Lonchura striata: one gene and its partners. The protein of the gene in region 3 purifies or fractionates together with the protein of the main gene of each other region. This does not show direct contact. Links are inferred from orthologs where the notes say so. Each region holds a gene or a part of one and is shown on either strand. Other genes may lie near its edges.

Evidence for each region.
Region 1: the proteins of EDC4 (region 3) and DCP1A purify together in Homo sapiens (co-immunoprecipitation; 9 studies listed by BioGRID and IntAct, with this or other methods). This does not show direct contact. The link is inferred for Lonchura striata from reciprocal best matches to the Homo sapiens genes EDC4 and DCP1A.
Region 2: the proteins of EDC4 (region 3) and XRN1 purify together in Homo sapiens (co-immunoprecipitation; 4 studies listed by BioGRID and IntAct, with this or other methods). This does not show direct contact. The link is inferred for Lonchura striata from reciprocal best matches to the Homo sapiens genes EDC4 and XRN1.
Region 4: the proteins of EDC4 (region 3) and EDC3 purify together in Homo sapiens (affinity purification with mass spectrometry; 6 studies listed by BioGRID and IntAct, with this or other methods). This does not show direct contact. The link is inferred for Lonchura striata from reciprocal best matches to the Homo sapiens genes EDC4 and EDC3.

The regions. Positions count from the first base shown.
Region 1 is NC_134614.1:10,596,364-10,604,146, forward strand, and holds the start of DCP1A (mRNA-decapping enzyme 1A), read right to left. Parts: upstream 3,010-7,783; 5' UTR 2,973-3,009; coding exon 2,838-2,972; intron 1,946-2,837; coding exon 1,905-1,945; intron 104-1,904; coding exon 1-103. UniProt on the Homo sapiens protein: Necessary for the degradation of mRNAs, both in normal mRNA turnover and in nonsense-mediated mRNA decay. Removes the 7-methyl guanine cap structure from mRNA molecules, yielding a 5'-phosphorylated mRNA fragment and 7m-GDP.
Region 2 is NC_134612.1:12,799,852-12,807,189, reverse strand, and holds the start of XRN1 (5'-3' exoribonuclease 1), read left to right. Parts: upstream 1-4,335; 5' UTR 4,336-4,442; coding exon 4,443-4,517; intron 4,518-7,125; coding exon 7,126-7,338. Other genes in the region: serine/threonine-protein kinase ATR, read left to right, coding at 663-814, 1,049-1,154, 2,462-2,635. UniProt on the Homo sapiens protein: Major 5'-3' exoribonuclease involved in mRNA decay. Required for the 5'-3'-processing of the G4 tetraplex-containing DNA and RNA substrates. The kinetic of hydrolysis is faster for G4 RNA tetraplex than for G4 DNA tetraplex and monomeric RNA tetraplex.
Region 3 is NC_134615.1:16,944,155-16,951,556, forward strand, and holds the start of EDC4 (enhancer of mRNA-decapping protein 4), read right to left. Parts: upstream 3,014-7,402; 5' UTR 2,965-3,013; coding exon 2,886-2,964; intron 1-2,885. Other genes in the region: NUTF2 (nuclear transport factor 2), read right to left, coding at 4,045-4,158. UniProt on the Homo sapiens protein: In the process of mRNA degradation, seems to play a role in mRNA decapping. Component of a complex containing DCP2 and DCP1A which functions in decapping of ARE-containing mRNAs. Promotes complex formation between DCP1A and DCP2.
Region 4 is NC_134613.1:5,971,884-5,978,928, reverse strand, and holds the start of EDC3 (enhancer of mRNA-decapping protein 3), read right to left. Parts: upstream 3,016-7,045; 5' UTR 2,943-3,015; intron 1-2,942. UniProt on the Homo sapiens protein: Binds single-stranded RNA. Involved in the process of mRNA degradation and in the positive regulation of mRNA decapping. May play a role in spermiogenesis and oogenesis.

The DNA of each region.
Region 1 (7,783 bases), on a different chromosome or scaffold from region 3:
AGGTTCATGGAGCTGAAACTCCAAATCTTTATTTACTGGCTCAACCAGGTTGTGCATATTCAGTCGATTCACTATTGTAAAACCATGGTAAGGAGAAGCTGACCTATTGTGTCAAGGAAAACAAAACCAAGGATTAATATCTTCATTAACGAAAATAATTTTCTGATACCAAGTTATGAATTTATCTTCACATTTCCATTGCTTTCTTACATGAAGTTTTAGCAGTCCTGCAGCTCTCACAGTTGTTTTTCTATGCCATTTCTTGGCACACCACCTAATTTCAATTTCAAACTAAACTGCATTTACCTCAAAGCAGGATTAGGATTAACATTACAATTCTACACTGTTACACTGCTGAATCAAAGATATGCCTCGGAAAAATCTATTAAAAAAAACTAGGGCAGGTCCACTATTAAAATGCAAATTTATTCAATACTTGATATAAGATTGTTTTGAGGCATTTCAGAATTTTTTAATTAGAGGACAAAAACCAAACCATTTACACAGCATCATTACCTTATTGTAAATAGACATGACAATAAAAAAAAGAACTGCTATCTTTTAAATAGCATGAAGTACACTTACAGGGGGAACCATAAACAGTAATTTATTCCTAAAGGGAGACTCTGCAAATAAAGACTTAAGCCAGTATCCTGAAAGTAAATTATTCAGAATTGTATTGCTCAGTGAAACAATTTTTATTTATCTAGATTTTTTCTGAACACCAAGTAAAAAAAGAAAACACTGAGCAAGCATTGAAAGTTCAAGATAGTTTTAGATCTGTTTTTTCTTGCTGCATGAATGTCCTGTCAGCACTGAACTGTGCCTGTAAAATGTTGTATAATCAACAACAACGAAGGTAGGCTAAAAATCAGACACAATAAGCTGGTAAATGTAAAGATTTCTGTAACAGCGTGGCCACCTTTACCTAATGATTGACACCAAAAATCTCTCAAGAGTTTCCAAGGACAGGGTAAACAACCATTACCATCACAAGTGAGTCCCTTAATGCACCTCGCAGAACTTGTTTGAAATCATCAGCTAGTGACACAAAGCTTTTGCTTTGGTTTTTGATTTTATTTTTTTTTAAGTTTGGTTAATACTTTCTTACACTGCGTATTTCCAAGCTGGGAGCTGAAGTAAAGGAACTGTGACTCAAATCCCTACACAGTACTGAGATAAAATATTGTAACAACCAAACTATGACAGTCTGCCTCAGGATGGCTTAAGTCTGCATTATTTCTATTTCTTACCTTCAACAAAGTGTTATTTAATTTAGATTTTTTAATTTGCCTATAATTTAAGACTTGAACTTATGATTGATATTATGTGTTGGTTCTCCTCAGTCCTTTTACCTGTCCTAGAGAGCTGGAAATTTCTTCCATGATTTTGAGAGGAAATCAGACAACTCCCAAAACCAGACATTACAAGATCTCCAGCTTTTGGGCAACTCCATCCATTTACAAAAATTTATTATATATTCCATTAGTAATTTAAAACACATTATTTAATTTCTCATGTCTATCGTTTTCATAATCAGCTTCATGGATGTTAGGAGACAGAGGGAGACTTGGCATTAAACAAACTCAATGCACTAACAAATGCTATTGGATTAATAAAATAAGCTCAATAAACTAGTTTTTGATGTGGGTACATATGTAGCATTCAAGTTTTACACTTTCTTAGCAATACTTTTAGGGGCTTTTAACAGAGTTATTCACCCATGTGCAGAATTTATTCTTCTTGAATGACTACACAGCAGTTAACAGCTGGACAAGCAAAAAATGATGAGTATGAAAGCTCTGTAGGAAGCCATCTGGAGCTTGTTTTCTTAAGGAAAGAAAACAAATATCGCCACTACTCTATACCCCCTCCCCCAAAAAACCAACCCAAAGTAACCTTACCTTTTATACACAAATAAGGTCCCTTCTATGTCAGTTTTTTCCTACAAAAGATAACAAAAGCACTTCAGGGATGTGCTTGTTCACACAGGTAGGTTTTGTACAGTGTTTTAATTACAGACTTACAATATCCATATCTTTCCATAAGGTTTGACATCACAGGACAAAAATTATGCTCCCTTATTTTCATAACTTTCCAAATTTTTTAATTAGAAGAATTAGGACGTTAAACCTACTTCCAAAACACTTTGCTCACTCTCTCTATTTGCCGACGTGATACACACACATTGTTCCACAACCTTCCCCTGCTGAGCAGACTCCAAATATCCGAGAGGTTGTGTTCCAGTTCTACTCCAAGGACAGCCACAACAGCACAGCACGGTAGCACCGTGGGCATGGCTCTGTGGCAGACTCCAGCTCCCAGAGCAACCCTCAGCACGGGCGTGTCGAGGAAAGCTGCTCCAGCTCCAGGGCTGCACGGGCAGTTCCCCATATTCCCATTTTTATGGCTCTGCGATGAACCCGGCGGTCAAGCCAAAACTGTGCTTTAATGCAATCTTAAATTCCTCTCTTCCCGAATTAGGGCTCTGTGCAACAGGCGCGAGCAACAACAACAAAGTACCTTTAAAAACGAGAAAAGTCAATGGCCAGCAGCAGCCAAGGCGCGCTCCAGCCCCGGCGCTGCCCCGGCCCGAGGGGGAGCGGCGCCGCCTCCCCGAGCGCACGCACGGCCTCGCCTCTCCCTCTTCCTCCTTCTCCTCCTCTTCCTCTCCCTCTCGCCTGCTCTCTCCGTCTCCCTCTCGCTCCTCTCCCCCATTACAGGAGGGGGGAACGCGCCCAAACCCCGAACTCCCCTGGGTTCGGCCCCGCGCGGGCGCGCCGGGCCCGGCGGCTGCCGGGGCGCGGGCACGGCCGGGCCCGCCCCGCCGGACTCACCCACTCGTTGTCCTTGGGGCTGAAGCTGTAGAGCGCGACCTGGCCGGTCACGTCGGCGATGCCGGTGATGAAGGGGTCGTGCCGCCGCAGGGCCGCCAGGCTCATCTCCTGCCCCGCTCTGCCCGCCGCCTCCATCTTGGATCCGGGCAGCCCCGCCCGCGGAACGGCGACAGCCGCGCCGGTGCAGCGGCGTGCCCGGCCCCGCCGCCGGCCGGAGCGCGCGGCCCGCGCCTGAGGTTCCGCCCGCCGGCCTGGGCCCACGCCCCGCCCCGCCGGGCCCTTCCCGGGGCCTGTTCTCACCTCGGGCCCGCGGCCCCTTCCCGGCCCCTTCCCGGGCTCCTCTCCTCACCGCGGGACCGCGGCCCCTGCCCGGGCCCTGTTCTCACCTCGGGCCCGCGGCCCGTTCCCGGGCGCCGCTCCCCGCTCGCAGCGCCGGGCACTGAGCGCTCGCAGGGCCGTGGGCCTTGGGCAGGGCTGCGGGCTGGCCCTCGCATCTTGTTTTTATTTATTTACCCCATTAGTGATCCGCAGGCTCCGGAGCTTACTGCAGGCTGCCCTGTGAAGCGCGATGAGCTGGCTCACAGGCTCAGGAGGGTGGATGCTCTTTGCTCCCGTGTCCGTCATTTTCTGGTATATCAGTATTTCACGGTCTGCAGTGGGATATGGAATTCTCAATATTTTAGAAGAATTTGGGGATTAAGTATTTCTGTCAGGTGTAGTAAACATCCACACATACGTTTCTCAGGTAAAGTGAAGGTGCATAGGGCGCTAAACTGCCCTATGTAAAGTGGAGTGCTGTGTAGTACATATCTACATTTGCTGAAACAAGAACAAAGTAATATGCAGTGTACTGAGATTTTTTTCCTGCAGCTTTTTCAATTACTGGTGATTTTAGGAACAGGAAAGTGTAGTATATTCATCAGGACCAAGGCATAAATTATGTCCAAGATAAGATCACTTAGGTTCAAGTACCTTTGTAGCATTTTTTGCAATCTGACATGGAATAAACAGGTTTGTATATTTCTAAACAAAATCTTGTCTGTGGCAGGCTCCTGACCCTGAGTATTTCAAGAATATGTGCTATGCTCTGTATTACCACAAGTCAAGTTTTTTTGTTGCAGGTGGACAAACTTCTGATACAAACTTTTAATAGAGCTTTACAGGATAGTCCTCTCCTATGATGGCTGACATTTATTGCATTGCATTAACCATAAACAAGGATCCAGCAGTTGTGTGGTTCCACAAAAGTCTATCTGATAAGAAGTGGAAATACCAAGTTCTAGTGTAATTTTTTTAAACTGTAAAGCTTTTGGGACAAAACAATAATGTGCCTATTTTGGTGTCAAACAGTTACAGTGTAAAGTGAAAATGCATTTATTAGGGAAAAAGTAATCTAGACAGAAAACTTCATCCCACTAACTCACCCTTGAACCCCAGGGCATAAACATCAGTAAAAAACTCAACAAAAGTCATATGGAATGTCTTGGAGCTCCATAAATTGTCCATGTCTTTCTAATGGTTTCACCATAGAAGAGCCTAATCCATAAAATTTGGGTTTTCCCTAGTTCTGTAGTGTTTGCTCTTAAAGGCAATACTTTGATGTAAAATTTCTCATTATTCACTAACAGTTTATATTAGAGAAAGATGCTAAGAAGAAATTAAACTTTGAAATCTATTTTATACAGCAACCACATTCTAAGAACTCAAATAGAAGGAAAATGACAAAAACTTTTTTAAAAAACTGGTTCCAAATGGTATCTTAAACGTCTGCATCAATCTGCCCCCTTCTGCAAGATTACTGTAAAGAAAAGCTATCTTTCAAATTTAAAAACTTATTGGCAAAGGAAATTTTGTGCTGTTTGAGATCTCAGTTGTGAAAAACTCCTTGGCTTCATCTTGCATTAAAAGTGAATCACAAGGAGCAGCAAGGAAGGGAAGCAGTGGTTTCTGCTTCTGGATTGTTTTCCTCCTTCATCTGCTCATTCCAGTGCTGCATTTCAGTGAATTTATTCTCCCTGTCTTCACCGTTGCTGCGTTGGAATAAAATATTTTGGATTGGAAGTGATGCATGGCCTGTCCTCTGCCTCCTCAACCTTGCAGCACAGCAAAGTGTGTGTACAGGCAGAGTCTGGGGGTACACTGGGGAGTTGTAGCTACTCAGGCGTGTGCTGGGAGTGCTGTGTGGTGCAAATCTCCTCAAGCCTCCCCAGAGCTGTGCTGGGGAAATGTTCCTCTCTCACTCCCTGCTCCTGATCCTTGCACGGAGCCAGGCACAAGCGGGATGATGCACACGGTGCCCACACGGTTGTAAATGCAGGCAAACCCAATGGGAAGAAATGATGATGTCTGACTCAATTCAGAAGGCTGAATGATTTCTTTACTATAACTATGCTAAAATACATTAATATACTATATAAATGAAGATACTAAAACTACATACTACTTTCTCTAACTCAGTTCGTGACCCTCTCTCTCAAGTCCAGCCCCAGGTGGGTTGGATTGGCCATCAGGCTCAAACAATCCTCACCAGAATCCAACCAAGCATTCATTCCAGGTGAACAATTCTCCAAACACATTCCACATGGGAAAAACAAGGAGCAGAAATAGAAATTGTTTTCTCTTTCATTTCTCTCTGTGCACGTCTATGAAAAATCCTGAGAGAGGGAGAAATGTGCTGTCACAGTGTTCTTTTCATGTTTTCTCTGTGAGTGGGACAGATTCCATTTGTGTTTCAACAAGTGAAGGGAGCATTGTGTTTTATAGTTCACTTATACTGCTGAGGTTTTTTAGAAGAGGATATATTAATTTATTACCCTACTTAATCTGTGTTAATATTAAGGCAGATGAAGTAATAAAGACCCTCTTTTTTGTTTGCTTTTGACACCATGGCTGAGTCTCTGTTGCTCTGCTGTTGGCAGTTCTGTTATACAAACTCTTTTTCTGGCCCCTCTTTTTGCACAGTAGATTACTCATGTGTTCCCAAAGCTTATTTGGGCTGCAGTTACTCCTTTAAACTTCCTACAGAAAAGTTCTTCAGTCCTTTTCTTTTTCCCTTGTTGGCTGAATATCCTCAGCAAAAGATTATTGCTGCTGTTCAGATGAGGGAGAAGTGCAGCCAGTGCTCCCAGTCAGTGCATTTCCTGTTATTACTCCTGGCTGAATTAGGGTCCAGGGAGTCTTGCAAATCTGAGTGACTCACAGAGCTTGTATTTTTTCTTTACAGTTTTCTATTCAAAACAATTGCCAGAAATTCCTGGTTTCATGAACTGTTTTGCAAATGACACACTTCTGTTGGTTTGTTTGCAGATGTTTTCCTTGTTTTGTAATGGGAGGCAATTTCTGGGCTATTGATTGATAATTGCATTGTTATCTAAACCCTAAATTTCAGGATAATGGCTGTAATTCTACAAACTGTTTATTTGGGCTTAGTTCTAGATAGGACAAAAGGTCCTGGTCATAACTTCCTTAATAACTTAATGAACTTTTATTTTGCATTTTATTGCTTAAAAAAAAACCCAAGGGGAAGGGGATGCTAGAATTTTTGAAGTGCTGACATTTTATTTGAAAAACCTTTTTATTTCACAGGTGGCATTACTTGAGCATTTTCCTCATTTGTATAAATATGGTATAAACTGCTCAGGTTCTATAGTTACCTTCCCTGGCAGTTATTCTGCCCTTTGGAGGACCATGTGGATCAGCAGCCTTTTCTAGGAGCTCCAGCTTGCACTGTGCTCTCTCTGCACTAATGCTGCAGCCACAGGTACCTTACTGCATATTCATGGTGACAAATCCTTGCTTTCAGTTGTGCAAAATCTTCTTCCTCTTTCAGAGGAAAGTTTTCCAAATTGCTACATATTAACAGTAGAAGGGCAGCAGTGTTAATCCAAACAATTAAATTTGGTGGGATGGAATGGTGTGTAAAGGGACTGCAGGTTTGGCAGGATCATCACATGGAAGTGACAAGCTTTAGGAAGATTGTTATGGGACTAGTGATTTACCCAGCTTTAGGTAGGGGATTTTTTCCTGTTTCCATGCTCTGTATAAAACAGATCTAACACAGAACTATTTTGCATAGTTTCTGAGTTTCCCAGCTGTTGCAATACTGAAATGTGAATTTAACTAGAAGTTTCTTTGCCATGAAATAATTGCAGTAATGATTCTGTAAAGGAATGCATGACTTTCTTTTTTTTTTTTCTCCTTGTACAATTGGAAAAATCTTCTAGAAAATGTGAAGCACGAAACATTAAAAACAACAGCACTTTCTGAAATAATGTAGCTTGATAAAGTACTAGGAAAATGACAAAAAAAAAAGCAGTTAGCCATCTGTGTGTCCACTGACATTTTGGATATGAGTGTAACCAATAGTTACGGTCCTTCCAAGAGATTCTGAAATTATATTGAAAGAAACAGAGAAAAGTCATTAAATTACAGTTACAATTCAATAAAAACAGAAGAATGAAAACACTCAATTGAATTTATACAGTAAAGCTACTCCCACAACAACAGTGTAAGAGGGTGAAATAGGTCACAGGCAGCCCTCCTTACATTGCTCAATAACATTAGAAGGCTTAATCATTTATGGATTATCTCCTAGAAACAATGATCTGGTGCAGACAGGTAATCCAATCTCCTCTATCTTTCTAACCTGGTTTGCCATTTCACAGGAGATTGTGGAAGGGTGGCAAGTTTTTCTAGGAAGACATTGCCTGCCAGCTTGAAACATGTAAATTGCTGGAATTTGCATCAAAATATGACAGCTCTTCTCTGATGAAGGTAGGTAGTGAAATTAGACAGGTAAAATGATTTTTTTTAACTAGGGCACAGAGGTTCAGCTCCAAATTATATCATGTTCACCCTTAGTTGGAATCTGTCACTGACAGAGGAACGAGAGAAGTTTATTATTGACATAAATCAGAACTAGAGAGAAAACATTATTCCTGGGACTC
Region 2 (7,338 bases), on a different chromosome or scaffold from region 3:
ACCGAAACAGCCCAAATTTTAGATTGTTTCTATTTTGTGACTCTCCTCTCTCCACTATCACCCTCCAAACAAAACTAATTGCTACATTCAGAATTCTGCTGCTGTGGAGAATTTCTTGTTCTCTCTCACACAAATTCACAAAAATTCCAACGTTTCTGTAAAATAAACAGCAGAAATTGTGGCCAGATTGGGATTTAGAGTTTTGGTGTTCCAGTTGAAAGATGTTTTTGGTGTGGGACATGTGGCCTTTTTAGTTCTGATAAGTGAGGTAGAAATATTGTTAGGTTATTTCTTCTGGTTTCTTTTTAGTAAGTCTAAATTGTCCTATATAACAATTTAAAAAAATGTTTTTAAGCAAACTTGCAGATTATAAAAGAAAAGTTAGCATTTTTGCAATGAGACTACAGAGCATAAATATGTATTTAAGAACAAAATTTTATTCCCTGCGTTAGTGTGTTAAAAAAGGGGGAAAGAGGTTATTTGGACAATGTTATCTTTTACTCTGTGTAATTTCCCCTTATCTGAGTAAGACTGTGAGCTGAGCAAACATATCTTGCCAGCTAGGAAACCGCCACTGACAAAGAGGGAGGAAAAAACTTAAAACCAATGCAAATAATGCTTAAAACACTTAGGGCATCCCTTTTCTTTTTCTCAATGTAAAGGGAGAAACTTTTGAAGTTCCGGAAATTGTTCCTTTCCGCCTCACTCACAACATGGTTAATGGGATGGGTCCCATGGGAACAGAAGGGCTCTTCCGAAGAGCCTGTGAAGTCACCCTGAGGCTGATGCGTGATCAGAGGGAGCCTCTGATGAGGTACGGCAACTACTTCTGCTACAAACTCCCCAAAGCTGTCTGTAGTCTAAACGTGTGAAACAGAAACTGCTGGAGCATATGCCTATCCTGCAGCTCACTCTCACCATGACATAGAGCTAAATATAAAGCTATATAAATATTCAGCACTAGCTACAGGCTCCTGACAGTGTTTATGTTTTGAAAATTAAATGTATTTATGTATCATATCCTTTTCTAAATTTTTTATTTATTTAGTGTCTTAAAGACTTTTCTCCATGATCCTCTTGTGGAATGGAGTAAACCTGTTAAAGGGAATACAAAAGCCCAGGTGAATGAAACTGGAGAAGTTGTCAATGAAAAGGTGAGTTTAAAACAAACACAGCCTAAGGTATTCAAATGTGGAATGTCCATTATTGTTACGAATTACATACTTCCTAATGAAAACTTCATTTTTTTTTTTCTTCCATTTAAAAATTTCTCTGTTTGTTCTTTGTTATCTTTCTGTTCATAATTTTTATCCATGACGAGATTTTTTTTAACTGATAAAAAATGTAATTTATCTGTTAAAGAACCAAACAAAAAAGCCTGTCATTCTCTTGTTGGTGTTACTAAATCAAGGAAAATATCAGCAGAAGTGATGCATCTTGTTACCCCTCACTTGCAGAGTCCTCCAGATTTACAGTGATGGTAACTTCTGGAGTCCTTTCCATGTGTATATTCATGCTTTTCCTGAATGGATGTTTATTATTGAATAAATATATGCCCTGGTACATATAGAGAATGATGTGATTAAAATTAAGATTTCATACTGTTTCTTTATTAGCTGCTGCTGAAGACTGTATTATTCACCCAAAGTATAGCTTAATTTTTAATATCTTCCCTCTATGCAAAATTTCTGATTTGTTCCTTTCTATTTTTGGGGGTTTTTTTTAAGGACAGTTTAATGAAAATAAATGTGTAATAGCAGACAATACTTAGGGAGCACTAACAAACACAGTTAAGATAAGGAAAAACTACATCACTGAAACTGTATGACAACAAAGAATTTACCTGTTCTATTTCAGCACAGAAAATCTCTTGGTCTTCAAACAGTTTCTAACCAGCTATGTCTACATTCTTTTACAAAAATTTTCTTTTACAAGACCGCCCACATAATTGTATATGTTAACTGCTTTTTCTGGAGAAGTGCCAACGATGTGCTTGAGATTTAAAAGAAAATGTGTGAATGTAATTGGTATGAACTAGCAACTCCAGTGGGCCTTGGAACAGCTCATTTTGAGATGCTCAAATTTTGATCTAAATTTTCCAGACTTAAATTTTATCCAGAAGTCCAGGAACAAGGCTAGGAAAATGCTGCATTTATTTGAAATTAATTGTATGCAATAAGCTTTCTAACAATTCTCAGATATATTTATATAGCTCTTTCAGTCTCCTTTGGTAACTTTTAACTGTAAAAATGTAAGGCAAAAGTTATAGCTTGGCCAATAATATATCCATGCTAGAGAATTGTTCTTATAAGTGAGTAGCCTTTGTTTTCAATGTAGCTGGTATAGGCATCTGGATTTTGTGTTAAATTATAATATGATTTCAAACACATCCTAAGGAATACTGGTTTTATTTTGAGAAGTGGAAGTTCATGAATAGTACCAATTTTTTTCTTCTTTGCAGGCCAAAACTCATGTCCTTGATATAGAACAACGGCTGCAAGGTGTCATTAAGACTAGAAACAGAATCAAAGGATTACCTTTATCTATTGAAGGGCATGTTCATTACCTCATTCAAGAAGCAAGTGATGACAACCTGCTCTGCCAGATGTATATGGGCTGGGCTCCATATATGTGATATTTGTTCCCTTTGGAATAATAGCATCCACAAGTACTGTAGCTGTAATATTGTTGAGAGGGAATCAGTGAGTGGTACGTGGTTACTTCTGTTGATTTTTGGCTGCAAGCAGAAGAAAAGGTTTATGGTCTTCCAATATCTGTGTAAAATGTACAGTGCCCTTGCAAGAATGATATGAATGCAGATGTGTAAGGTGTTAGGACTCACCTTTTGTACATAAAAGTCAGTACGTAAGAACTGCTTAAAATTTAGACTATGCAAGGCTCTGCAAGTCTCTGACTAAATGAAAGATTTTCATGATGTTGACAGATGCACTCTATAAAGTACTGTATATTTTTGTACATGTTTCTCATTTGGCTTAGATTAGAAAATAAAACAATGAAGTTTAATACTGATAGGATGTAAAGTGGTTATTTCAATTTCTGTATTCATATGCAGAAGGACTTTCTAAAAATTATTAGTATTTCTTTCCAGCAGTAAACTTTTCTTCAACTTTCTTTCCTGTTGTGTGGCTATTTCTAGGAAAGCTTTTGGGATTTTAAATCTTAGCGTGAGTAAACTGGTAAAGTGGTTCCATATTCTGAACCTATTTCCTTAGCCCTTCAGTGCAGTGCTCTAAAAAAACCTCCCGAAGGACATGGGACAAAGGGAGCTGCAGGACGCTGGCAGTGTGGCTGTAAGGCCAGGGCAGTGGGCAGGTGGTTGTGGCTGTGAATGTACCATCCGCGTAGGCTCCCGAGAGCTTTGTGCATCCCCTCTTCCGCCCTGGAAAAAACACGGCTCTAGGGAGTATTTTTCAGACTCCATTTCAGAAAAGGTGTTTTTGCACAGAGAAGAGTAGACTAAAATATGGTTGAAAGGCAAATGTTAATTTACAGTAATGCTTGCTTTCTAGGCATCCAAAATGTAGGGAAATGAGGGGTGGGGGGGGAGATAGGGAAAAATTACACCTTTTTAACCTACAGTAGGCTATTATTAGAATTTTTGTGGTTTTGTTTCTGCTATTCTGAGAGACAAGCAGCGCTGTTAGATTTCGATTACAGGTTCACACCCGTGTGACACTCAAATGTTTGCTCTGTTCGGCTGAAATCCAGAGGTTTGGGAAAGTAAAATAATGGGTCTGCAACTGCTTCTAGGGCGTTTGTTTCTCCGTCGATCAAGTGCGCAATCTAGAAGTGTTGTCACTGTCCCATAAACGTGCCGAGTTTTCCTAGTAAAATATTTGGAACATACTGTGTTTCCGGTGTTGTGTTTGAGCGCTGACGTTCTGTTTTTTTCCCAGGCTTTATCGGTTTATCGGAGCGCAGAGAGCCGCCCGAGGAGCTGTTGCACCGGGCGGTGCCATCGCGCGGGGAGCAGATCTGCGGCGCGGGCTGGGGCGGGACAGGGGCAAAGGGGGCTCTGCGTGTTCGCGGCTCTCCCCAGCCCTGCGTACCGGGGCGGGACAGGGGCAAAGGGGGCTCCGCGTGTTCGCGGCTCTCCCCAGCCCTGCGTACCGGGGCGGGACAGGGGCAGAGGGAGCTCCGCGTGTTCGCGGCTCTCCCCAGCCCTGCGTACCGGGGCGGGACAGGGGCAAAGGGGGCTCCGCGTGTTCGCGGCTCTCCCCAGCCCTGCGTACCGGGGCGGCGGTGAGGCAGCCGAGGGGCGGGACCCGGCCCGGGCCCGCCCGCTCCGGCGCCGCTCCGTGCCGCTCGCTCTCGGTGCGGGCGCTCGGCCGCTGTCAGCGCGGCGCGCCGGAAGGAGGGCGGAGCGCGGCCCGCCGTGTTTGGTTCCGGCGGGGCTGTGAGGGCGGCGGGGAGCTGTGGCCATGGGGGTCCCCAAGTTCTACCGGTGGATCTCGGAGCGGTACCCCTGCCTCAGCCAGGTGCTGAAGGAGCATCAGGTGAGCTGCGGGCGGAGCGGCGCTGCCTGACACGGGCCCGCCCCGGGGGTCCTGACCGGCCCCTCGGCGGGACGGGGGAGCGGGAGAGCGCTCGGGCCCCGTCTCCGGGCGGCCCTGCGGCACCGAGTCCCGGCCCGGCCCGGCTCGCCCACGGCCGGGGCGGTGCGGCTCAGCGGGACCCGCCGAAAGCGGTGGGACGGCGGTGGGCGATCCCTGGGGAGCGGTGAGGCGTTCGGTGCCCCCTGACAGCCCGGCTGCCGGGCCGAGCCCGCCGCTGGCAGGCAGCAGTGGCCGCGGCTGGGGCCGGCGATGGTGGCAGCAGTCCCAGACCGAGCGCGCCGTTCCCCCGGGAGCGGCGGGTCCCGGCCCGCGCCGCCCGCCCGCCCCGCCGGGCTCTCCCTCGCTCTGGTCCGCTCGGCAGCCCCCGCCGGCCGCGCGGGAGCCCGCGGTCGGAGTTTGCTCCTTCTTGGGCTCAGAAAAGTTACAGCTGCTGACGGCCAGTGGCGCGGTAATGACGAGGGACAGGTTTTACAGCTGTGCTGCGTTTCCTTGTTGTCGCCTGCGTCGGACAGTTTGTGTTAGTAGCTGAACCGGGAAGTATGTTCAAGCCTGGAAAACTCAAGCCGTAAATCATATTTCCAATAGTTGGACAAAGACGTCATCTTTTCAGAGATGACATGTTTGGTACCTGTTGGATACAAGTGCTTCTAATTATCATTTTCAGCTGGTGTCACAGATGTGGTTTTATAGATTGAGTAAGGATCTTCTGAGATAGGTGATAATTGAGAGTGTGTTTGAATATTAATACATTTTCCCTGAACACCTGTGATTTTTAAAGATTAAATAGCTGTTGTGTCCGTGTAACTAAGGTGCCCAGCTCAAGTGATTCCCAGCCTGGATGTTTGGCCTTATCTGATAGTTTTAAAGCAGTGTTCAAAGCTTAGGGCTTTGCTTATGATTTGTTGGCCTTCTCTGAAGTGTCTAATGTTATCTGTGTAGCAAGGTGGCAGCAGTTTATGCTGCCTTTTCTGCTGTTTCCTTAGAAGCCTGGGCTGCTGACACATCTTTAAACTTGTGCTGAAGAACTTTGGCAAGCTGGGGAGGCAGCAGTGTCTACTCTAACCAGGGGTATGGCAGCAGAGGGTGCCACCCTTGATGCCTTCTAAAAGAGGCAGCTAGAGCTCTTAAGACAAACAGTAAACACAACCCTTCCAGATCACTTGAAGATACAGACTGACACATGCTGGCATCTGGAGTATACGCTAAGAGTAAAAAAAAAAAACCAAACTAATAAATCAAAAAGCTGTTTTACTATCTATATAAAACAGCATTATTGTTAAATCATATTATAGCTGTTCTTCTCAAATAAAACATAGGACCTTTTATGTATGTTGCTTCCATGTAAAAGCTTTTGGTTTTGTGTCTTTAAGACGCTGCCTATGCACTGCCCTGCTCACTTATCTGAAAGCACTGAGAGCAGTTTGGTTGCTGAGTTGAACCATACTAAAGATCATGATGTGCAACAGAAGGCTAGTTACAGCAGTTGATTGGGGATCATTCCTGATCCTGCCTCTAATTTCTTCTCTTCACCATTTTCTCTTTCTAAGACAGTTACAGTTCTCATCTGGAGGATGAATGCAAGCCCAACAAGGTGCCTTTAAAGATGTGTGAGCAGTAGTTTTGTAGAAAACTGTAACAAGTTGGCAGTGCCTTTTCCTAGGTGTGATGATAGGGGGATTTTTGTGAGCAGTCTTACTGAGGGATTAGGGAAGAGATTTCTTTAATGTCAGTTGCTCTTGTGGTGCATTTTGGTGACACTGAGGTAGTACTGGTCCCTTTGCATCATACATTTACCAGTGTTTGTTCTCTGTATGTTGCTTGTGTACATTTGGGAAGGCTTTCTTTTTCCTTGAAAAGAAAGTATGACTGCTATAGATAAGGCTGTTAGAATAGCAGAGAACTTAAACGAAAGATAAATTCTGTTTGGAAAGTCTGGGTAATAAATTGATATTATTATTGCCAGCTCTCTGCTTTTGGTGGTAATTTCCACTCTCTAGACTCAAAGATGCTCACAAGCATAACTAAAGAGACAGCATACAGTGGTTGGGGTAGGAGCTGCTGAACAGGGGGAGAACTCTAAAGGTTCTTAAGCCATCTTTGCTTGGAAATATTGTTGGAAATTGCATGCTCAGTTTTGTATTTTTTTTTTTTGTTTGTAGTGCAGCTATGAAAAGTTGAATCAATTAAATGTGCAGGCTTACAAAAAAAAAAGAAAAAAAAATCTTCCTGAAAACAGTGGTTTTGGTTTGCTTTTCCATTTTACAATGTAGAAGATAGTCGGAGCACAGGGACAAAAGTCTCGAAGTTCCAGAAACAGCCAGGATAAAGTAGTAACCTGTTCAGCTGACTTGGCTCCCTGACAAAAATCAAAGTAACAGACTGCATGTGCAGGCAAACCCATACCCTGTCCAGATATTCTTACTGTGCCTGTTGGTGTGCAGGAGGTTCCACAGAGGTCTTCCCACCTCAGCTCATTTCCAGAGTGCTCTCAGGTGTGCCTTGGGCAGCGGCTGCATTCACCAAGTGGTGCTAACTGTGGCATTTGCAGATTCCAGAATTTGACAACTTGTACCTGGACATGAATGGCATTATACATCAGTGTTCACATCCCAATGATGATGATGTCCACTTCAGAATCTCAGAAGATAAGATTTTTGCCAATATTTTTCACTATTTGGAAGTACTGTTTCGCATTATTAAACCAAGAAAGGTTTTCTTCATGGCGGTTGATGGAGTAGCTCCAAGAGCGAAAATGAATCAG
Region 3 (7,402 bases):
GAATAGGCTTCAACAGATCAGGGTGAGTGCTGCTGCCTAAAACACAACTGCAGTTATTAATTTGCCAGAAGGGTATTTTAAGCTTGCCTGTTTATGAAGAGTCATTATGGACACAGGAATGTGCAGTGACAGGGTACACTGATGCAGGGACAATTCGGGCACTTGCCTCAGTGTACCTGCACTGCATGAAGAAAAAGCAGCAGCACTCACACAGCACAAGGAAACTCAAGCAAGGAATGTGATCCAGCACCTCACACTGGTGCTATGCTTGCTGTCAGCATTAAGATCTGCCCCTTATTCCTAGAGCATATGGTGGGTGCTTGTCCAGTTGCAGCTACTTCCACTGACAGCACTTGATCCTTTGTGACCAAAGGCAGGGAAATATTCCCTACAGAAAAAGCATCCCGTCTCTCAGAGAAAGATGATATGTGCTTTGCCCTTTTGCAGCCACAGGACTCTCATGTAAGTACTGCTGCTCTTTTACAGACAGCAGGATAGTGATGTTTGCTCCATGGGAAAAAGGAACGATGAAAACACTCCCCAGAGGCTGATGGGCCCAACAACAGCACACCCAAGTTCAGGAATGGGCACAGCTCAGTCTGTGTTAGTGGAAGCCAGACAAGCATAGGTGCTGCCTGTGCACAATCCTGAAGGCATAAAAGAAGGGAAGAGGCTCTGTTTAGTAAGAACATGAACTAAACCAAAAAGTTAAGCCAGACTGGTAGATAAAGGTCTCAAAGAGAAAGAAAGGTGTATGAATTCATTACCTTTTCAAAGAGCAGGAGCAGTCAGAGCTGAGACACTGAACTCTTCCTGCTCCCACCATCAGCACCAGGAGATGCCAGCATGCACTGAACAGAACACTGCCCTGATGCACCATGAGCAGGGTGAGCCCACATAACACCTGGTTATCAGCAGAGATCTCTTATGGATTGAAGGATCCTGCCCACACCAGCAGGGATGCTCCTCTTCAGCACAATGGCACTGACAGCCTGTCCCCACATCCCAGCAAGCAGGTCCATGCTTTGGCAACAGCTACTGAAGCATTGCAAGAAGTTCGCCAAAACTGGGAGAAACTGTGTCAAGAGAGACAGACTGGGCAGTGGATTACATTTTCACCAAGCCCAGCAGAATTTAAAGGGTATTGTGACAGTTGTGAACTCTTTGGAGCAGGGAGTGTTTCTTGTCACCTGCCTGGACAGGATCTAGAGGAACACAACACTGCTCAGGGCTACCTGCACTTGGTACTGCAAAACTTGAAGGCTCCCCTATTCCTCTCCCCTGGCAGCCTAACAGGAGTTTCAGAGACTTTCAGCTAACATGTGCACTCTTCTTCTTCCCCTTATTATGTGAGTCTTTTCAAGTTTATTTGCTGTTATGCAGGCAGTGATTTCTGCTGAGAATAGCCACAGGTTCCTCCTGTGAACTTCCTGCCCACTTGTTCCTTCTCCTCTCAGATGCCTTCTTGTGCACTGGAGTTGACAGAGAAGGCAAAAAGAGAATGAAGAGGAAAGAAGAATGAAAAAAATAAGCCATATTCTGTCAGTAACTCCTTGACTTCAACCAGCAGGAGAAGCTGCTTCAGAAGAAAGTCAAGTCATCTTGAGCAACAACTCCAACCATTTCTCAACCACAATATATCCTTTCAGTTCAGAAACTGCTTGTGAAACGAGTCTTCCCCATCCCTGCACTGAGTTCTCCTTTCAGTTTTCCAAGTACTGTGCTGCACTACAAATAAAATACGAATTTTTCTTGTAAGAATTAGAATTCAGGACATGTGCTAGCACTCCAGAAACCACAAAAACTACTCCAATTAATGAGAAGTTTCTCTAAGGGTAGTAGAGCTAATGAAGCTGCCTTCCTGTAGGTTTAGCCCATCACTTCAAGGGCCTCTACAGCCCTCCACAACAATCCCACACCCACCCTCTCTTCCTTTTGCCCAAGCAAAAGGCAGCACACATGGCAGATGCTTTGGAGGTAGCATGTTCCCGCTGAGTCTCAGGACATTTTGAAGTTATATTATTCCTGTCCTGCCTTTCTCTTGAAAGGAGCATAAGAGGGGCATAATTCTGTCCTCTACCCAGAGGTTAAGATATTTTTGCACAGCATTCATGTCTCAGCCTCCTTCAGAGTGTTACCTCACCACATTTGACTGAAACACCACAGCAGGTTCAACAAAGGAGATGAGATCGAGAGCCGAAGCTCCAGGGGAGTGGGAACACTAACCAGCTGACTCCTGAGCCTGCTGCTGATACTCTTACAGGCAGAAGGGAGCCCGCTGAACTCTGAGCAGGGAAGTATGATAGTTCCGAGCACAAAAGACTCACAAACACTTCAGAAGAGATATCCGTGATCCCATTTCACGTACAAATAAGGAGAGCGAAAAGTTCGTGTAAAGGAGGAACCTGGCACTGATCTCAGAGCAGCCTACAAGCCTCTTCCACTCGATCCACTCCCAGTGCTCCCGGGAAGGGGGGACACTCGTGTCACGGAGCTCGGTGCGGTTCAGCTCCCAGCAGCAACACCTCCAGCTGAATGGAGCCCCGAGAGCGCCGCAGCAGCGAGCTCTGGGGCCGGGCTGCTCTCGCTCTGCCCAGCGCCAGCAGCCCCTCCCTCAAGCGAGGGTCCCCAGGCCGGGGCTCCCTCCCCTCTCCTCTCCTCACCGCGGGCTCAGCGAGGCAGTGCCGAGCGGGACCCCTGGCCCTGGGCGGGTCGGAGGGCGCTGCCAGGCGCCCCGAGGCGAAGCGGTCCCGGCCGGGCCCCGAGCGCGGCCGCTGACAACCGGCGGGGCGGCGGCGCAACGGCCGAGGGGCTCCCGCGGCCCGGCCGAGACCAGGCCCCGCCCGGCCCGGCCCGGCGGCCTCCCGCGCCCCGCCGCTCCTCACCTCCCGGCCGGTCCAGCTTGAGGATGTCCCGCAGGTGCTGCGTGGCGTCCTCGATGTCGATGCTGGAGCAGGAGGCCATGGGGCCCGGCGCGCCGCCCGCCCGCGCCGCCGCCACCGCGCTGCCCGGCCCGGCCCCGCCGCCCGCGCTTCCGCCTCCGGCCCGGCCCTGCGAGCGCCGGGCGGAAACCGCCGCCCGAACGGAGCGTTCCCGGCGCGGCGGGGCGGGGCCGCGGCGGCCCGGGGCTCCCCCGCCGCCGCCCCGCACACGGCGGCTGCCGCCGGACGGGGAGGCTGCACACAGCGCAGCGCGGAACCGAGCGGAGCTCCAGGCACAGACTGCCCGTGTGCGTTCGCCTGCGGAGGGAACAAAGGTGTCCCGTGGCTTGGAGCGGGCACGGAGACCGACTGCAGGCTACCGCCACTGTACTAGTGGGGAATTTGCATCCGTAAAATACAACAGGTGAGAACGAAGCTGTCGGTGTTAAAAACTGAGCCAGAAGGCTCGGTTACAAAAGCTGCTGAGGAGATGGTGTATGGAGGAGGGCAGACGTGCCCTGCACTCGCTGCTGAAACTGTGAGGCATTGTTCAGCTGGAGCTCCAGCTCTGCAAGCATTCCCCCACCAGACAGACACAATCTACCCCCAGCAAGCACTTATCACACACACTCCACAGCCAACTCATAAAAACAATTTAAACTTTTAAGAAAATCTCTGTTTTATTGTGTAATGTAGCATTGAAACATCTGAACAAATCAATAACTGGGCTGTACAGGCTGCTGTTCTTTCATTTCTTTGGGTTATAGAGCATCTTGTCAGTACATAAACAACAACCTTTTGCATTATAAATTCTTTCCGAGGCATGCTGGTACAACACAAATTTCTCTTATCAAATGCAGCTAAGTCTAACTTCCAAACATCATGCACAAGAAACTCATCTAGTGACAATGTAAACTCAGCAGAAGGGCAGGTCACAAGTCTTGCTTGCTCACGCTCTGCAGTGCTGCAGGTTTGTGTATGATATTTGGAATGTTCCGTGAGTGTGAATAATACCAGTTAAGAGGAGAGGAGGAAAACGGGAAAAAAAAAAAAAAAAAAAAAGAAAGAAAAAATAAAAGAAAAAAGAAAAAAAAAAAAGCCCGGGTGCCTCGGGATGGGCTGCTCAGCCAAAGTTGTGCAGTGCTAGCCTGAACATGTCATTGGTGCAAACCCAGGCATCGTTGATGTTCTTTAATAGAAATATCTGGTGGAATCCCATGATAGGATCTTCATCAGCCTGTAGAAAGAGAGAGGGGGAAAAAAGGTTCAAAACACTAATTTTTTTGATAAGCTTATTCCAAAACTCATGATGAGACAACTTCAAGCTAACATTAATAGTGACATTACATGCTGTAAAATGTGTAGCACCCCAGGAGACACCAACACCACCAGAGGACCTGTTCTGAAGGGCTTTGCAGACAAACACCCAGGGCCCAGAGACATGGAAATGCTGCAACGGCATCTGAAGTTGGGGTTTGGTGGAAGACTTACTGACATGTCACTCACCACACTGATGGAACATGCCTGCCTCAGTGTTGAATCACAAAGCCCTTGCCCAGGAATTAATCTTAAAAGAAAGTGGTGTGATTTTTAACTGCTGAACTTTGGGTTGATGGCAGAAGGGAGTTTCTGTAGAGGTTGGTATCAACATGTTGCCTGGATGATCCAGGTGATCTGGGCTTTGAAAGCCTTGCCAGAGCAGGTGCAGCTGGCCAGAAACACAGCACTTCCCACTTGCAGCAACAGCTGGAAGGGAGCAGAGCATTCACTACAGCTGTGACAACGTGTCCTAAGCACAGGGAATGGCTGCAGCTGTGCCTCCACTCCTGCCTGACAACACATCTGGGTATTTACAACATTACTACAAAACTAGAAAGTAGTATTAGAGGGAGACTAGTAAGTACTTCCACCCAATTTTATTTATCCATAGTTTCAGAGACATCGTGCAGGAATTAAATCCTCAAAATAACATAAATGATTCCCAAATCAATCAGCTGGAAACCACACAACAGGATTTAATCTGAACAGCACACAGGGCCAACTACAATCTTCTGATGGTGGCTGTAGTGTGTTCAATTCAGCATTTCTGGAGGATTTTAAGCTTTATTTTTTCAACACATCACTATTCAGCTTCAGAAAAGGGAGGAAATTTATTTTAAAAAAGGCTTGAAAAGCAGCAGCCAGAGCAGCTCATGAAAGAGGCACTCAAAGCACTGAATGTTCATTGGCAATGCTCTGCTGCTGTTCACTGAGAACAAGTGAAAAGTGAAGAGCAAAGCAGACTACAGAAAGATCAGAAAAGAAACTTTACTTTAAAAAAAGTATTCATGGACAGTGAAACAAGTCAGTTTTGAGGACCAACTTGCAAAGGACATCACTTCTATCACAGGACAGCAGGTGTGCCAGAACATTGGTGGCATCAGGTGCATGGAAAGGAAGCATTCAGATCCATAACCACTGCAAGGATTTCACAGTGACAACCAGCTGGGAAGTTAAGTGGTGTACATGAAGTGCAGTTTCAGTAAGTGTGTGTTAATTCACAGAGTAAACCAAAGTGGGCCCTAGACTGGCCCCTCATGAAAGTGACACTGAAATAATAATTGATATGTATTTATTAAACCAGCTGAGAGCTGTAAAGCTATCAAGGCAAGCACAGGGTTAGCAGTTGTTAGGGAAGAACAAAGAACCAAATCCCAGAAGTAAGCAAATGCATAAATAGGCAAAGAGCACCCACATATCAAAACCTGCATGCGTTTCTTATAAGTTAAAAAATAAAATGCTACAGTAAAGTCATAAAAGGACAAGAAAAATGATCCAGCTAGAGGATGGTTTCCTACTGAAGAAAGTAAATTGAGTAAAACTTTTCAGCTTGCAAAAACATAATGAGAATGGGGAGAATAGACAAGATAAATTACTACAAAATCATGAAGAAGAAAGTGAATGAGGAAACTATTACAGCCAGAAATTAGGAAGGCAACAAGTAAGGCCAGGATTATGTGCAAGCCAGTGTTCAATACATGACTGAGACTGAGAGAATTCTCTGAGAATGAGCGAAAAAATCCTCAAAGCAAGACAGGTGCCAGCAGTCACTGTCCAGCCAACAAACAGGGCAGCTTGTCCCTCAGTACACACCTGCTTTGCATGGGGCAGAAGCTCCCTAGGAACGAGCCCAGTGTGAGCACCAGCAATTCTGCTGGGCTAGACCAGCCATCCATGGCGTGCATCAGCACATCTGCCAGCAGCCATGGCAAGTGTTTCAAAGGAAATATTATCTCTACTGCACGTGCCCAGAACAGAGGCTCACATATCCGTGCTGTAGAGGTGGCCTGTGCACCGAAGCCCATGGGTTTGTGCCTTTTCCAGCTTTTCCTGGGTATCCAGTGTAACCCATCCCAGGAGAGCCTCATCACTGCTTGGGAGTTAGCAGGTTCTCAACTCCCAGTTGTCCTCCTTGTTGCAGATCACCGAGGCATCTATTACAAGTTGCATAAGTACTTTTCACACCAAATTTGAGCTTGTCATTACTGACGTAAATATGCTTTAATAGATACCTCTGGAAAAAAAAAATACCATCACCAGACAAGCTTTACTGTAGGTCTCCTTGATTTCTGATAAGCCTAGGTAGCCTCTGATAAGAGCACTGCAGCTCTTGATGCTTTGGCTTAAGGAGAATTTCCTCCTTTCTTAAGAAATTCAGCGCTGGACACATGAATAAAGACTAAAAGGGAATTCTCCCCAAAACATCTGGTGTGGTACAGACAACAAATTCCAACAATGAAGTCACACATTATTATTTTCTTTATTCCTTTCATGTTATCCCTTCATAGCATAGATGAGCAGTGTACTTTAAAAACAAGGAAAATCCTAGACTACATTCAAGGTGACGTATATACTTTATAGTCCATTCCCCAATTTTGACTATGTAATATTAGCACATAGCAAAGGCTCACAGTTTAGTGACTCAAGATACCACAGAAAACACAGACTAATCCTATTCTGTATTATTTTAGATCTTCATCACAGCTCAGATAACACCACTGAAACTCCCTCTCCTTACTTTTCACTCCAAATTCAGGCATGTCCAACTCAGGATTTGCATTCCACCCCTGTGAGCCCAGGCTCAAAACACAAGGGGCTTTAGTCTTCCTATAAAACTTTCCTTTGTGCAGTTCAAGTTCTTCCATGACATCACTGAATTAAAACAAAAATTAAACAAGTCCCAGAATTAGACTGGAAGAATCTTCTGATTTCCAGGCCAGCCTTTTGCTCAGCATGAGCACAGACTGCAGCAGCTCTGCATCACAGAACCACAGAACACGCTGGTTTGGAACAGAGATGGTAAAAGTCCACAGAAGGACCTTTAGAGATCATCTAATCCAATCATCCTGTCCTGGGCAGGGACATCTTTCAAAGGCCACAGCCTTGTCTAGCAGAGTCTTCAAATTCTCACAGAACAGATGTTTCACAAGATGCTCAGGCAC
Region 4 (7,045 bases), on a different chromosome or scaffold from region 3:
ACAGGGCAGGAGGGGAACCCCAACCAACAGAGAAACACAAAAGGGTGAAAAAAATCCCCAAAAACTGGAATGCAGGATAAAAGCAGCAAAGGCAGCATCAGTGCCACGATTAGATAAATGAATTTTAAAATAGTTTTTCTCCTTGCACTGAAGTTCTGTCAAAACCAGGGGAGAAAAACTCCAATTTGTTTAGACAGATGTTTCCAACAGTGCTGGAAGCAGCTAAAGAGCTCCTTTGATCCCAGATTTCCCAGTGACAGGCTCACGAGCATCACGGAGAACAGGAGACATGACAAGCTCCTAAATGTGGAGATTTGCCTTTCATGCTGTAATCAAAGAGGGAGAATGTTTGATATTTACTGTGAACAGCACAAAGAAACACGGCAGACAGCCCAGGGAGAGCAACTTCCATGTATAAATCACATTTCTGGAAGAGGCAGCTGGATTCTCTGCAAGCTGAGCCTCATTGAAAAAAAAACAAGGGAAAAAAAAAAAACAACTTGGATTAGGGGGGAAAAAAAAAATCTCACTTCCCCCAACTTTCAGAGGCTGAAAAGAGGGGATGCTTCAAAGGGAAGAAAATGTGAAATTTGGTGACAAAGCCATCAATTCCTGAGGAGCAGCTCCTGTCCTTCCTGTGGCTGTGTGTTTATGTTAACCCACGGTGACAATGTCTGCATTCCAAGGAGGTGGCTGATAAAAACACTCCCAAAACACAGATAACACAGCCTTGGGGACCACAGGGAAACCAAAGCTTCCTTCCATTTCCTGCTTTCTTCTCATCTCCCTTAGGAAACACAGGAAGGAGCTCGGCACACAGCAGCACCTTACACAGACACTTCTGAAAAACAGGAGCCTCCTTTTAGCACAGAAAACCCAAAAGTAAATCTATGTTTGAGTGCAAATATAAGTTTAACTACCCTGGAGTTGGAATAGAGGGGTGGCTGTGTCGCTGTAGGAAAATATAGGGAGCCCCATGGGTAAACACAGGGATCCCAAATATTGTAAATAACATAAATATTGTAAATATTTAAAAACATGTGGAGCTACCACAGGTAAATTCAGCCAGCCCCATAGGCAAAAATAGCAGCCCCATAAGGTAAAAAGGGGAACCCCCAAAATGAAAATGGGGATACGCCATGGATAAACACAGAGAAACCCCAAAAATAAACATAGAGAACCCCAAAAATAAATACAGGGACCCCCAGCATGCATAAACACAGGGAATCCCCTGCGTGGATAAACACAGGGAACCCCCAAAAATAAACACAGGGAACCCCCAAAAATAAACACAGGGAACCCCCAAAAATAAACACAGGGAACCCCCCCAGGGATAAAGAAAGGAATCCCCCCATGGATAAACACAGGGAACCCCAAAAATAACCACGAAAGGAATCCCCCCATGGATAAACACAGGGAACCCCAAAAATAACCACGGGGAACTCTCCCAAAAATAAACACAGACACTATCCATGGATAGTTACAGGGAACCCCCAAAAATAAACACAGACCCCTTGCCATGGATAAACACATTAAACCCCCAAAAAATAAACACAGACATCCCCCCAATGGATAAACACAGACCCCACCCCCATGGATAAACACAGGGAACCACAAAAACAAACACAGGGGACCCCCCCCACACACACACACAAAAATAAACACAGGGAACCTCCCCAGGGAGAAACAAAGGAATCCCCCCATGGATAAACAAAGGGAACCCCAAAAATAACCACAGACACTTTCCATGGATAATCACAGGGAACCCACAAAAATAAACAGAGACCCCTCCCATGGATAAACATAGGGAATGCCCCAAAAATAAACAAAGGGAACTGCCAAAAAGAAACAGACACCCCCCCCACCAAGGATAAACACATGGACCCCCCCCAAAAATAAACACAGGGAAGCCTGTGATGGATAAACAGAGAACCCCCAAAAATAAATACAGGGAAACCCCCCAAGGATAAACAAAGAAACCCCCAAAAATAAACAAAGGGACCTCCAATGGATAAACACAGGGAACCCCCAATGGATAAACACAGGGACACCCAATGGATAAACACAGGGAACCCTCCCATGGATAAACACAGGGAACCCCCACTGGATAAACACAGGGAACCCTCCCATGGATAAACACAGGGAACCCCACAAATAAACACAGGGAACCCCCAAAATAAACACAGGGACCCCCAATGGATAAACCCAGGGAACCCCCAATGGATAAATACAGGGAACCCCCAATGGATAAACACAGGGAACCTCCAATGGATAAACACAGGGAACCCCCAATGGATAAACACAGGGACCTCCAATGGATAAACACAGGGACCCCCAATGGATAAACACAGGGAACCTCCAATGGATAAACACAGGGAACCCCAAAAATAAACACAGGGACCCCCAATGGATAAACACAGGGAACCCCCAATGGATAAACATAGGGAACCCCCAATGGATAAACATAGGGAACCCCCAAAATAAAGAAAGGGAACGCCCAACGGATAAACACAAGGAACCCCCATAGATAAACACCAGGACCCCCAAAAATAAACACAGAGAACCCCCACGGAATGAACACAGGGCCCGCCATGTACCCACAGCACACCCCAAAACAGAAGACCCCCCAAAAGCAAACAGACGTCCCCAGAGACAAACACAGGGCACCTCCATGGGCACACACAGAGCCCCCCCGAGCTGACCAGGTCCCCCCAAAAACACCCACAGCACCCCACAGCGGAGCGCGGCGCTTCAGCCGTGATTAACCCCTGCGGGACCAGAGCCGAGCACAGCTCCCGGCCGGGCCTGCCCCGGGCCCACCGCGGGCGAAGGGCGGGCAGGGCGTGCGGAGGAGAGCCGCGACGCCGGGCAGGCCCCGCGGCGGGCGGGTACCGCGGGGAGCACGCGGGAAGCCGCAATCCCGGAGCCGGGCCCAAACTCACCCGCACGGCCCCGCAGCCGCCGCCGCTGCCGCTGCCCCGACCGCTCCCCTCAGCGGCTGCGCCTGACGTCACTTCCGGCCACGCCCCGCGCGCGGCGCTCCGGCACCGGAAACACCATAGAGACTGCGAGGTGTGCGCATGCGCAGTGAGAGACCGCGCAGGGGCTGCGACACGTGTGTGACACCTGCGTGACACCTGTGTGACAACGTGTGACACCTGTGTGACACCTGAGTGAAACCTGTGTGTGACACCTGTGTGTGACACCTGAGTGACACCTGTGTGACACCTGTGTGTGACACCTGTGTGTGACACCTGAGTGAAACCTGTGTGTGACACCTGTGTGACACCTGTGTGTGACACCTGTGTGTGACGCCTGTGTGACACCTGTGTGACACCTGTGTGATACCTGAGTGACACCTGTGTGATACGTGTGTGACACCTGAGTGACACCTGTGTGTGACACCTGAGTGTGACACCCGAGTGACATCTGTGTGTGACACCTGTGTGTGACACTCGTGTGACACCCATGTGACACCTGTGTCTCAGGTGTGTCACCTCCGTGTCACACTCCTCTGTCACCAGTGTGTCACACCCCTGTGTCACACCCTGCTGTCACACCTATCAGACACCGGTGTCACCCCTGGGTCACCTCCCAGTGTCACAGCTGTGTCAGGCACCTTTGTCACACTCGTGGGTCACGCACGTGTCACACACCTGTCACACACCTGTGTCATACCTGTGTCACTCCCGTGTGACACACCTGTCACCTGTGTCCCTCAATCCCCTCCTTCCCACCATCCCTTCCAGCATTTCCAGCCTTTCCAACATCTCCATCGCATCATCCCCCATCATCTTCATCATCTCCATCCCTCCATCTTCATCATCTTCATCCCTCCATCTTCATCATCTCCATCCCCCCATCATCTTCATCATCTCCATCCCCCCATCATCTTCATCATCTCCATCCCTTCCATCATCTCCATCCCTCCATCATCTCCATCACACCATCCCCCCATCATCTTCATCATCTCCATCCCCCCATCATCTTCATCATCTCCATCCCTCCATCTTCATCATCTTCATCCCTCCATCTTCATCATCTCCATCCCCCCATCATCTTCATCATCTCCATCCCCCCATCATCTTCATCATCTCCATCCCTTCCATCATCTCCATCCCTCCATCATCTCCATCACACCATCCCCCCATCATCTTCATCATCTCCATCCCCCCATCATCTTCATCATCTCCATCCCTCCATCTTCATCATCTTCATCCCTCCATCTTCATCATCTTCATCCCCCCATCATCTTCATCATCTCCATCCCTTCATCATCTCCATCATCTCCATCCCTTCATCATCATCATCTCCATCCCTTCATCATCTTCATCATCTCCATCCCTCCATCTTCATCATCTCCATCCCTTCATCATCTTCATCATGTCCATCCCTCCATCTTCATCATCTTCATCCCTCCATCTTCATCATCTCCATCCCCCCATCATCTTAATCTCCATCCCTTCCATCATCTCCATCCCTCCATCATCTCCATCACACCATCCCCCCATCATCTTCATCATCTCCATCCCCCCATCATCTTTATCATCTCCATCCCTCCATCATCTTCATCATCTCCACCCCCCCATCATCTGCATCATCTCCATCCCTCCATCGTCTCCATCATATCCATCCCTCCATCGTCTCCATCATCTTCATCCCTCCATCGTCTTCATCATCTCCATCCCTTCATCATCTTCATCATCTCCATCCCTCCATCATCTCCATCCTTCCATCATCTTCATCATCTCCATCCCTTTATCATCTTCATCATCTTCATCCCCCCATCATCTCCCACCGTTCCATCATCTCCATATCACCATCCGCCCATGATCTTCGTCATCTCCATCCCTTCCATAGTCGCCATCCCTTCCATCACCTCCATCCCTCCATTACACCATTCCTCCATTTCTGGCCCTTCCATCTTCTTCATTATCTCCATCCCTCCATCCCTCCATCACACCATCTCTTCCATCATCTCCACCCCTCTATCACAGCATCTCTTCCATCATCTCCATCCCTCCATTTCCAGCCCTTCTAGCATCTCCATCACACCATCACCCCATCATCTACATCATCTCCATACCTTCCATCATCTCCATCCCTCCATCACACCATCCCTCCATCATCCCCATCACACCATCCCTTCATCATCTCTATCCTTTCCATCATCTCCATCCCTCCTTCCATCATTTCCAGCTGTTCCATCATCTCCATATCACCATCCCCCCATCATCTTCATCATCTTCATCATCTCCATCCCTTCCATCGTCTCCATCACAGCATCTCTTCCATCATCTCTATGCCTCCATAATCTCCATCACACCATCCCTCCATTTCCTGCCCTTCCATCATCTCCATCACACCATCCCCTCTATCATCTCCATCATCTCCATCCCTCCATCATCTCCATCACACCATCCCCTCTATCATCATCATCCCCATACTTTCCATCATCTGCATCCCCTCCATATGTCCATCACACCATCCCTCCATCATCTCCATCCCTCCTTCACACCATCCCTTTTATCATTTCCAGCCCTTCCATCATCTCCATCCCCTCCATATTTCCATCACACCATCCCTCAATCTTCTCCATCCCCTCCATCATCTCCATCCATCCCATCTCCTCATACCTCCACCACCTCTGTCCCCTTTTCATCCCTTCCATCCCCTCCCTCCCTGCCAAGGCTGCTCTGTTCCACACCCAAACCACCAGCAGCTCCAAGCTGCGCTGGGGCTGATCCCTGGGGGATCAACAGACCCCAACTTTCCCGAGGGAAATTCACCTTTTTTGCTTTTTTTTGTTTGTTTTTTTACGGGAAATCGTGGAAAACTTGGGATTTCATGATGCCCGGCAATGGGAACAAAACATCCCCCGTGGCTGGCTCTGACCTACTGATTCCAGGTTTTCAGGGACAGAAAGCTATTCCCAATTTTTAGTGAAGCCCTGAACTGATCCAGGGCATCACCTTCCAGAATCAGCTCCCTTTGGGATGAAAATACTGCCCAGTGCCCCTGGAGTCACAGCCCACACCCCTGTGGCAGCACGTTTCTCTCCCTCTCTGGATTTTCATAGAGGAGCACAGAGAGAAATGAAAGAGAAAACAATTTCTGTTTCTGCTCCTTGTTTTTCCCATGTGGAATGTGGTTGGAGAATTGTTTACCTGGGGTGATGCTTGGTTGGATTCTGGTGAGGATTGTTTGAGCCTGATGGCCAATCCAATCCAACTCAACCCAATCCAACCCAATCCAATCCAACACAACCCAACCCAATCCAACTCAATCCAACCCACCTGGAGCTGGACTCTCAGAGTGGGTCACAAGTTGAGTGAGAGTCAGAGAAAGTAGTTTGTAGTTTTAGTATCCTCCTTTAATAGAGTATATTAATGTATTTTAGCATAGTTATAATAAAATAATTCAGCCTTCTGAATTGAGTCAGACATCCTCATTTCTCCCCATTGGGCTCGCCTGCGTTTACAATACACCAACTCAGATTTTTAAGGATGACAGAGCAGCATAGGGTGTTCCCCCCCGCAAAAAAAAAAATTTATTTTCCAGTGGAATAAAATTCAGAAAGCGACTCAAGAGATGTTCATGTGAGTATTTATTGGGTTAGAAACGTGGTGTGGTTTCCATCCCAGCTGCATTCCAAGCGGGCACAAACAGGCAGGAATTGCTGCTGCGTTTGCCATGAGGCTTCACCTTCCCGCTGGCTAAAGCTGAGCGTGGCAAAGGCACCTCCTGCACTCCTGAAAGCCTTGCTCCTTAGCCTGCATACAGAAATCTATTGCTTGATAAAGAAAAAAACCCTGATATTAAAAAAGGCAGCAAATGCAGGGTTAGTCTGAAAGCCAGCAGTGTCCTACAGTTCCTTTTTGTCCCTTTCCCGGTCCTTTGAGATTTTCCAGGAGGCTCCATGTTAGGATTGATTTAAAATCTCAATTTGTGAGTGGCTCCGCTGGTGGATTTTTGTTTTTTCAATCAGTAGGAACACTCAGGAATTCACTCCATGAGTTCACATTCAAGGAATTTGGCTGTGTGG